2 linked regions of the Caenorhabditis elegans genome follow. The protein of the gene in region 2 interacts with the protein of the main gene of each other region in a pairwise test. Each region holds a gene or a part of one and is shown on either strand. Other genes may lie near its edges.

Region 1 (7,263 bases), on a different chromosome or scaffold from region 2:
TGCGCGTCAAATATGTTGCACAATACGCATTCTCAGATTTTAAATGTTCCTGTAATATTCGGTACTTGTGTATTACATGCCCTCATCTTAATAGTAATTTTTTAAGCCATGAAAAATAAAAACGTGAACCACAATTTGTATTTTTAGGCTTAGAAAATAACATTTTCTAAGCCTAAAGAGGAAAAATGTATATCACGTTTATTTTAATTGGAGAAATTAATGACAATTTAATTTAATTTGAAAATGAGGGCATGTAATGCACAAGTACCTAATATTCAAATACCCCCGTCAAAAATATAATTAATTCGTTATCTGTGATTGAAAAAAGCAAAATTCTAGGTTCAGACTGAATTAATTTAAATCGAAATTTTGAAACATTTTTGGGAATTTTCAAAAAAGTCTTATTGTTAAATTTGGTCTTTTGGGCCATTTTAACCTACATTCTTGTAAAAAATGACTAAACGCACACTATTCCAATTACCTCTAAGGTTACACCTCCATATTCAAGATTCGACTGTGCCATCATGTTCAGCATAATTGCATCTCGCGGTCGTAAATTCTTGCTTTCGAACCATCCGTGCGGAAATAGCAGTGGTTGTGTGGTAACCACCGAAACTAAAATAAGAACGGCAAAGGCTATTCGGATCATGTTCGCTTCATTAAAGAAGTCCTGCGTGAAGGGTTGTGTGAAGGTGGGCAAAATATATCGGCAAATAATCGAAAGTTCACAGCGTGAAGTCACCCATCAATATATATATATCAGGTTCTGCCCTTGAGAACTGGCTGAGACACACTCAAAATACTTAGTCAGTGATATAGATGCAATTGTTTTTATTATTATTATGTTGCATAGATATATATTACATGTTCATAGATGTACAAGTTGGGTTCTAATACATAATGCACAAGAAAAAACATTTATAGGAGGACTAACGGTTCGGACGGTTTTGAACGTATACACCCAAAATGGGCTGAAATGGACAAATTTCGTAATGAAACTTCTCAAAAATGTTTCAAAAAATTTTTATGGTGGTTCAAAATTTCGAAAAAATTACACTGATTTTAACTAAAATCTCGAATTTCGGCTACTTTTCTGTGTTACATCTGTCCGAAGTTGACTTTTTTGGAATTATCATCCTTTATTGCATTTTTTGGTAGTACATTTAAGCCGATAGTTAGCCAATTTCGATGATTTTTGGTTACCTATCGCCTTTAAATGTACTTTAATAAACGAAATTAAATAAGATAAAGTACCAAAATATGCAATAAAGGATGATAATTCCGAAAAAGTAAACTTCGGACAGATATGATACGGAAAAGTGGCCAAAATTCGGGATTTTAGCTAAATTCAGTGTAATATTTTTTTAATTTTTTAACCGCCATAAAAAAATCTTTGAAAAATTTTTGAGAAGTTTCATTACGAAATTCTTTCATTTGAGCACATTTTGGGTCTATAAGTTTGAAATCGTCCGAACCGTCAGTCCTCCGATAATTGAAAACTACGAGCTGTCTTCTTCGTCATCTCCATCATCATCTTCTTCTTCCTCATCGTCTTCATCATCAGTAGAATTCTGATCATCTAGATACTTGTTCACATAATGACCTGTACTACAAATCGGTTGATGAATCAGATACTGAAAGTGAACTGATATCTGAGTTGCCAAGTCTTCACTCATTCGATAGATTGTTCTAGCTTCATCTGGCTTCATTTCCCACGTGGTTTTTCCACTGTCATAGAGGATTTGACCATTTGAGTCGCAAATGACCAGTCTGAATTTGACTATTTATCTTGAAAATCGTGGCAACCAACAACTTACCGGTAATGTAGAACATGTTTAGACTTTAAGTTCACCGAATACGGAGCTTTTTGGTTGAGACAATTTCGTTTTATACATACAGAATAGTCGTTTACATGAAGAAGTAGATCAACTCCGAAATTGAATCCTATCCATCGCCAGCATTTCTATAATTTTAAAAAGATTTTTTAGATTTCGAATAAGTAACTAACCGGGAATGAATCCAATGATCTACCAAGCCTAATACATCGTTTAAAAAACTCATCATCATCCATTTCAAGTGTTCTGAACAGCTCAAAGTTTATCACTATTCTGTCGACTTTCGAACTTACTTTGGACTTTCTTCATTTTCTAAAAGTGATGACCAAAGTGCTGACGTCATTTCATCAACAATTGACAACGGAATTAATGCATCTGATTTGACTGTTTTTATAGTTTCAGAACATGTCAAAAACTGTTCTATTCGTAGACTGGCAAAGATATCCGCATATTTTATGAACATTGAAGTTTTCGATTCTTTGAAAAATTTGGAAGCATTTTGAGTGAAAGTCTCTGGACTGTCATCCTTGCAGCAATCGGGCACTTCTCGCATGTAGATCCACTGTAATCATTTTCTATATATAAAATACAATTTTTATTTATAGTCAGAAAAAATTAGAATTTGTCTTTCGAAATAGTGGAGGGTTGGGTTTAGTGTAGGGCTACTGTAGGGGTACTGTAGTTTGAATAATGAGTTGTCGGGGTCTCGTAGTAGTGTTGTAGATGTGAAAATTTGCGGCGATTGCCGGTTTTCAAAATTCTTGTCAATCGGCAATTCCGGCAATTGCCTGTTTTCAACATTTCCGGCAATCGACAATTCCGGCAATTGCCGGTTTTGGAAATTTCGGGCAATCGGCAATTCCGATAATTGCCGGTTTTGGAAATTTCCGGCGATTCCGGCAATTGCCTGTTTTCAACATTTTCGGCAATCGGCAATTCCGATAATTGCCGGTTTTAGAAATTTCCGGCGATTCCGGCAATTGCCTGTTTTCAAAACTTTCGGCAATCGGGAATTCCGGCAATTGCCGGTGTTCAAAAATTCCCGGCCATTCCGGACAATTGCCGGTTTTCAAAATTTCCGGCAATCGGCAAGTCGGACAATTGCCGGTTGTTAAAGTTTCCGACAATCGGAAATTCCGGCAATTGCTGGTTTTGGAAATTTTAGGCGATTCCGGCAATTGCCGGTTTTCATAATTTCTGGCAATCGACAATTTCGGAATTTGCCGGTTTTCAAAATTTCCGGCAATTTAGGCATTTGCTGCCTTTCAAAATTTCGGGCAATCGGCAATTCCGGCAATTGCCAGTTTCAGTTGCCAGTTGCCGTCAGTTGCGGCAGTTGCCGGTTTCGGAAGGTTTAGGAAATTCCGGCATTTGCCGCTTTTCAAAATTTCCGGCAATTCCAGCAATTGCCGGTTTTCAAAATTTCCGGCAATTCTGGAAATTGCCGCGCTCCCCTGGGGAGCAGTGTAGGATTACTGTAGTTCTAGGAAGAATTAGTTTCTGCTATTGATAATTAAAAGTGAAAAAGTGTAAAAATTTTCACTGTTTTAAAATACTCATACTGGCCCCCAAAAAATTCGAGCCAAATTTCGCCAACTTTTCATTGTTGAACCAGCTGATTTTAGCAAAATTGGACTTTTTTTCGAATTTTTGAGAAGCCTCATTATTAAAATTCGGTTTTAAATTTTCGGGAATGAGAAATGACTTACAGATTTAACAACTTTATAAAGATCAAATTCGCCTTCAATTATCAAAAGATTGGGTGAATTGAGAAGCGTCACAAAAAGCTGTCGATCAACTTCATTGAGCTTCTCCCTATCAGTCATTATTTTCCAAAATTGGTGTAACAATACTTCCATCGATTTCTCTCGAACCTTCTCCAGACCATATTTAGTTGAAACATCGTAGAATCGAACTGCATTCTTTGTGCTTAATGCTTCAATCATCATTTCTGAACATCTATCTGTGACACTATCAAGTACAATATATGAAGCCGCTGCCACAGTTCCCTCGATTTTATCCAAATCTATCTCAATCTCATTGTGATATAGACTTCCGAGCACCGAGTTTAGACCATCTGCGTCAATATTCGGATCTGTTATTTCCATCTGAACTCTTCCACTATTCGACTCTGTCCATAAACCATCGAACATTGACTAAAAGCATTCGAAATTAATTTGAAACAATTCAAAAAACTCACTTCAAAAAATTTGGTCTGCTTTAGATAAAGCTTGTGAACCCTCCATTCCCTGCCACACGCAGCCAGGACAATGTCCGAATTTTCTCCCTGAAAAAATAACGAAATTTGAGAAAATTTCCAAATTTCTTTCAATTGAATTGTTTTCTTTCCCTACTAATTATACAAAGGAATTTCAAAATAATTATGGTCATAGTTTTTTGGCGGCAATCGGAAATTTCCGGCAATTCTGACATTTGCCGGTTTTCAAAATTTACGGCAATTGCCGGTTTTGGAAATTTTCGGCAAGTGCCGGTCTTCAAAATTTCCGGCAATTTCGCCAATTGCCGGTTTTGGAAATTTCCGGCAATTCCGATAATTGCCGGTTTTCAAAATTTTCGGCAATAGGCAGTTTCGGCAATTGCCGGTTTTGGAAATTTCCGGCAATTCCGACAATTGCTGGGTTTCAAAATGTTTGGCAATTTCCGAAATTGCCGAAAACTCGATTGTCGCGCACCTCTGATTGAGTGAAAATTTCTGAAACTACATACCTGTGAAAATTAAGTTTTTAAAAAATTAATTTCTCAGTATTAAACTGTTTTGTACTGAAATTTGTGATAATTCTGAAATTTTTCATCAATTGCATACTCAAAATGCGAAAAAAAGATATGTCTCAATTGAAAAACGCCGAAAAAATCTTTGATAAAATGTCAAATTTTCAAAAAATTTGGACTTTTGGAAAAATTTACGATATTTCCGGAATTTTAAAAATTCCAAAATCATAGTAAAAATCAATTTTTGGTAGACGTTCAAAATTACGAGTGGCCCTGTTTTGCCTGTAATTTTAAAAATTCTGAGAATAAAATTTCAGCACAATAGTAACAATTTTGGCAATTTTCTCTTGCATGCAAGACTAATAGAGGAAATACGGTATATAGTTGGCATAATTAGTGAAAAAATACTAAAATGTAGGTTTTCGAACTAAATAATCAGTTTTTTCTTTTTCCATGTTACAAAATTAAAAAAAAACACAATTTACCAGATTCGTGACGAAGAAATCTCAAATTTGTTGAAACAAAACATTCATTTTGGAATTTTATTGCATTAATTTAGTCAACTCCATATTTTAGTTACCCATTTTGCACTAAAAATTCAATTTATTCTAACCTGTAAAAACAATTTCTGATATACATATGCACATGTGTTCAGTTTTGCCACTTTCTTCATCTCAATCTCACTTCCTTTTGCCGCTTTTCGTTTTCTTCCCCGTCTTGGACCAGACTCTTCATACACATCCATTACTTGATGGTCATTTGGAAGTGGATCACGAGAGGGCGTCCGCGAGTGGGACTGAGCTAATCCCATTTTTGACTGGAAAATAATGTTTCAGTAAATCACGTGGTGTCAGATGGCTCATTTCAGCTGGATTTACTTAGATCTACAAAAAATGCGGGAATTTAGATGCAGAGCTGTCAACTGATTTCGAATGGTTAAGAACGTGCTGACGTCACATTTTTTGACCAAAAAATTCCCGCATTTTTGTAGATCAAACCGATTTATTAATATTACTGTCTTGTATAAATGTAAGGGGGAAAAGGCAACATATGGTTAAGCCGTCGGCAACGACGCAAACAAATGGTCAGTTGAGAAAGTGTTTGAACACGAGAGATTACGCCTTCTGGAGACGCAGACGCGCAAGCGCACATTGCCACAGGGTCAATAAATGTTTTCACGTGAGGAACGGGGGTAAAGAAATTCCTAATTTTCAGTTTTGGAATATGTATCATTAAAAATTATTTTCATGTTGCTAGTACGTCTTATAGAGAAGCTTCGAATTCATTTTATACATTTGAATAATAATGAATTTTTCAAAGTTTTACACATCAAAATGATCAAAATGATGTGTAAAACCTATAAAATTCAATATTATTCAAATGTATAAAGTGAATTCGAAGCTACTCTATAAGACGTACTAGCAATATGAAAATCATTTTTAATGATGCATTTCCTAGTACTAAGGAACATCGTATGAGGATTTAAATAAATAAAAAGTTTCATTGAAATTAAGTGAAAACATCATAGAGATCATGGAAAATAAGTGAGACCTTGGTAATCAGATTGTTTTAAATATCAGAATATGAAAATATGAATTTATGCTTTCAATTCCTCTGGCTTTGATTCAGTTGGCGTCTCTGTCAAGCGTCGAAGTTCAGATGCGACTCCATTTCCGATTGCAGTCAATTGGGGGAGCCAAACCCGTTGAGACACGATTCCAAGTCCATGTGAAGCTGATGAAAAGGTCTCCATTCCATTGTTCAGTCGCATGTTGTTCGACGGTTTTGGCTCGATTCCAGTGATCGGAGGGACGACTGATGTGAAAACTGATTCAAGTGCTGACATACATTCTCTGAAATATTTGGAATTTGGCGTCAGAATTGAGAAATTGGAATATAGTCAACTTACGTGAAATCCTTATCATTCATCAACGCATCCAGATCTGCATCCTCGTCAGCCAATGCTTCATGAGCAACTTCTTGAATTATATCTTGAACTGGATAATCATCTCGTACAGCTGTTCCAAGATCAAGTCCCAAATGAACAGCTTCCGCTTCGACCAAAGCGATCACTTTGTTGGGAAAAGCCTTCTGTTTCGCATTCAGTTGAACCTTGATTCCATGATCTCTCAGTTGAGCGCGCATCAGTTCACCTCCATTCTTCAGTTTTGGCCTTTTAAGATTGCATGCGATACTCGAACTATTGAGCTTCTCCGGACTTTGCAATCTTCGTCTCATTTCCTCGACTGTGACCTGGAAGATTATTTAAATTTTAATATTGAACTTCTACCGTAAACGTACAAAATAACATGTCTGATTCTGTCCCATAGATAGTCTTCCATGAACCACATCAAATGCCTGATCTTTCGGACTTTCCAGTTCAAATCCACTCGGAACTGCATTCTCAATAACCGGAGTCAAATTAATGTTTTTTCGAACATTATTGCTCATTTTCGGAGGCGGCTTGAAAGTGCTCGGGTCCTGTTCAGTGACCGGATTCGGGTTGAGAAGACCCGCCAGCTTAATCGCAAATTGTGCCTCCTCGGAGAGCATCGGTGCGTATTCGAAAGGTCCACGTGGTGGTTGCAACTTTGCATCATCAGACGTGATTTTTCCTTTTAAAAGTTGTGCCAAAAGGGAGTTGTCTTCTTGCTCGGCAACGGCGGGTTGGGTAGAGCACTCTGCAGAGCTTGAAGGG
Region 2 (3,747 bases):
TTCCAACTTTTTTATTAATTGAGTATGGGACCCGGTCTGGACATGGTTTTTGCGTCAAATGAAAAAAGTGACTATGATTTATTTATTTAAAAAACACCTAAATAAAAATATGCTGAAAGAAGATTTGAAAAAGTTACTAAAAACTGGATAAAACTGAAGAATGTCTGAAACTCTTCCGCGACGGAAGATTCAAAAATTCAGTACTGTTTAAAAATCGTATTTATGGTTAAAAAGCCGCAATTTTAGTTTTTGCGCTCAAAATGATCTCAAATGACCGAGTTTCGAACGAGACTTCTCAAAAAAAAAAAATGGTATGGGTTTTAAAATTCTAAGAAAAGTTCACCACAAAGACATAGTAAAAAATTCAGATCTTAGCCCCTTTGTGCCGCCAAGAAAATGTTCAGTAACGACAAACGCAGTATGTTAAAATTAAAATTTCAGTAAACGAGAGAACAACCAAATTCGGGTTTTGATGAGGGACCAGCTTACAGATGTATTGACAAACTCGATTGCTCTTGTTGCTGTGTGCATTGCCCATTCGTATTGGAAGGTATGTTTTTTGTCTGTGAAGAATGGCAAATGTTTCTTTAGGAATGCGATTTCATCGGTGCTTTTATAATTTTCTTACTAATCATAAGAAACTGGGCGCCAATTGTTTCCGAATCTTGGTTCAAACTTCAAGGCATTAAGGGAGATGATGAAATAAATGATAAAATTTCACAGGTTTTTACATTCACAAGTTTTTTTTACATCAAAAAATTTGAAGATAATTTCGAGTAACCAGTCCATGTTTACTGTGATAGTTGGATATATAACTTATCATGTTGGTAACAAAGCAATTGTAGAGGTAAACTATAATAACTGGAAAATGAGTGAATACATCAAATTGTAGATATATTGTGAAGTGGAAAACCAACAAAATCGAGAAGAAATTCAATCAAAATTCAGTGCGGACGAGGTATTGGCGGTTTATCTACTACCAGTGGAGGAGAGCAAGGTAGGAATCTTATTCAACAGAAAAAGTTTCAATGTAAACTACTACTACCCTTTTGTTAAAAATCAAAATTTGAGAAAACATTTGGAAGCTTTATCTTTGATAATTTATGTTATTGTTAAAAAATTAAATTTTGATTTGAAAATGTGCAACTGGCTTTATCTTTCTCTGTGTATACCTTTTTAACATTAAAGATGAGTAAAATAACTTTTCTTATGAATGAGCATGGTCAAAAATCTACTACTTATAACACAGGGTTTCTTACACAGAATTAGTAAGTATATTTACTTTCATATGTTGTTGTTGTTGACTTCAAAAAATTTAATTTCAGAACGTGCATTTGCTTTCTGTAAAACAACCTGACGTCGATTGCTCTAAAAATGCAGAATCCGTAGAACTTTTACAAAAAGTTTGATCTATTGTTCATGTTGTTTAATACTGAATCGCACTGCTTTATCTGTATTTTGAATCTACCGTATTTCCTCTATTAGTTAGGCACCTCTATTAGTTTTGCACCTCAATTAGTTTTGCATCCAAAATCACTAATCGAAAATTAGTTTTGCACCCTCTATTAGTTTTGCACCTCTAATAGTTTTGCACCACTTCATTTGTTCCCTAATTTTAAGAATTCAAAATTTGCATTAAAAATCGTTCTAATAATTAGAAGAACTCTTACAGACTTGGTATAAGAGGTCAAAACTGGCAAAATATGAGTACAACTCGTACAATTTTTGCGTATCAGTCGTAAAATTCGTCCATTTTGGTTCATAAGTTGTTATTGAAATTGATGATATTATGCCACAACTTAATGGAAAACGTGAGAAAAAACCTGTTCGAAAATTAGTTTTGCACCCTCTATTAGTTTTGCACCTTCATTAGTTTTGCATCAAATTAGGTGTCCGAAAATTAGTTTTGCATGCCTTACTAATAGAGGAAATACGGTAATCATTATTTTGACAGGTTTATATTTATATGTATTGATAAGTCTTTTGATAAGTCTTTTTTAACAAACCCTTAAAACTAAAGTAATGCTTTTCAATTCAAATATTGCAAAACAAAATCGTAGAATTTGATTTTCTATTTCCCATTACTGCCCTTTACTTCCCTTGGCACTTATTGGCAAAAATTTCATACAAATAATAATAGACCCATCGAAAAAAGGCAATCAATTCAACAATAAACCAGAAGCCACACCTATCAATGACAATTATCTGGTGTCCAACCCTCTTACCTGAAATGTCTTCCGACCATTCGTCCCATTTCGATTTCCGAGCCAAGTGAGCTCTACATAAAGTGAGCTCTCTCAATCTTTTGGGATATGAGGCGAAGGCTCGCTATGGCGATCCTTGGTTTCACTATCCCATTTCTAATGAACTGTGCACTCATCGGCTCCACGGCTCTCATGATGATCCACAACGAGGTAAAAAGTCAGTAGTTGATAACCTCATTTTAATTCCCAGACTGTTAATTTTCAGAGCCCTCTGTTCATAGTGGCATCAATCACGATGTCGCTGTGCGTGACACTGGTAGTCATCAAAGCAAGCTTCCATCTGATAACAGAGCTCGCGGGACCACTGGAAACCGGGCCGGCCCGACGTCAAACCACGCGAGATGCAAATAGAGATTCAGAAGAAATGATCCCAATGACAAGCCGACATTCAAGCATAACATCGACAATTCCAAGTCGGCCAATGTCTCCAATTCCACCATCAACTCCGCCACCACGATCTCCTGCACCTTGTACGCATTTGGCCCAATCTTAGCCGCAATGTGAATACTTATCTGATAATTGACACGTTTTGTCTTTTTGTAAAATCTATTTAACTTTCTTTCTAGTCTTCTTCATACTTTTTTCGAGCGGTATGACTTGCATATTTGACTCAACTTTTACCATTGCCCGTCCCACGAGGGAACATTTTAAAAAACGTAATTTTCAACATTCAACACGAATTCGAACTTTGGAACACAGTCGCCTACTTTCTTAATAAAATTTTGGATCAGATCACTCTTTGCCAAGATTCTAAAAAAAATTTTAATATACAGCACAACTGTAAATAACGCATCAAATTTATGTTTGTGTATTAAAGACGTAAAAGAATTTTGTGTTTTTTGCTTTAATTGATTCAAAATGTCTCCAAACAACCGAATTTTACAGGAAGACACTCTGAAGATGTAAGTAAATCTTTGAAAAAAAAGTTAAAATAAATTTTGAAATGTTAACAAATTTTCCTTGTTGTGGCGGGTTAGTTAAAATTTAATTATTGCCTTGATTTGCATATTTGGAGGGTATTTTGGCTTTATATCTTCAAATTAGTTTTTTTTAGAAAATAAACATAGACCCATCAGAGAAAAACCCCAATTTCAAGTTTTCCTTATCAGATAATAAGTGAATAAAAACTAAATTCTGGTCTCTAGGACAAAGACAAGTTTAGTAGAATCGGTAGATTTCAGTTGGCTTCGACCCAATTTTTTCCGAAATTTAAAACCACCATATGAAACAATTGTGAACATGTTTGAGATGTCTAGTTTTTTTGCGTAAATGTGCATTTTGTAGGCTTAAATTTGCTTATGGTTTTGATCTGCGCGCGTACTGGTGTGTTTTTTTTAAATTTTAAACACTTCGAATTAATATTTTTTTTGTAAATACAAATGTTCTGTTTGTGAATAAAAATTACGTTTAGTATAAACGCAAAGAAAAACAAAATTGTTTAAATTGTCGCTCCGTGGATTTTTTGTTGTAAACAAAAAAAAAT

Evidence for each region.
Region 1: the proteins of F41C6.6 (region 2) and gcl-1 interact in a two-hybrid assay, tested with the Caenorhabditis elegans proteins (one large-scale study listed by BioGRID).

The regions. Positions count from the first base shown.
Region 1 is NC_003282.8:13,407,514-13,414,776, forward strand, and holds gcl-1 (BTB domain-containing protein), read right to left. Parts: upstream 5,383-7,263; 5' UTR 5,377-5,382; coding exon 5,179-5,376; intron 4,123-5,178; coding exon 4,036-4,122; intron 3,992-4,035; coding exon 3,545-3,991; intron 2,398-3,544; coding exon 2,129-2,397; intron 2,082-2,128; coding exon 2,009-2,081; intron 1,964-2,008; coding exon 1,818-1,963; intron 1,771-1,817; coding exon 1,500-1,770; 3' UTR 812-1,499; downstream 1-811. Other genes in the region: Y62E10A.19 (Neuropeptide-Like Protein), read right to left, coding at 482-649; Transcription factor aptf-2, read right to left, coding at 6,163-6,418, 6,475-6,818, 6,867-7,263.
Region 2 is NC_003284.9:6,880,155-6,883,901, reverse strand, and holds F41C6.6 (CNNM transmembrane domain-containing protein), read left to right. Parts: upstream 1-2,006; 5' UTR 2,007-2,330; coding exon 2,331-2,421; intron 2,422-2,469; coding exon 2,470-2,615; 3' UTR 2,616-2,964; downstream 2,965-3,747. Other genes in the region: F41C6.7 (ZT_dimer domain-containing protein), read left to right, coding at 442-550, 592-723, 767-847, 893-997, 1,326-1,409.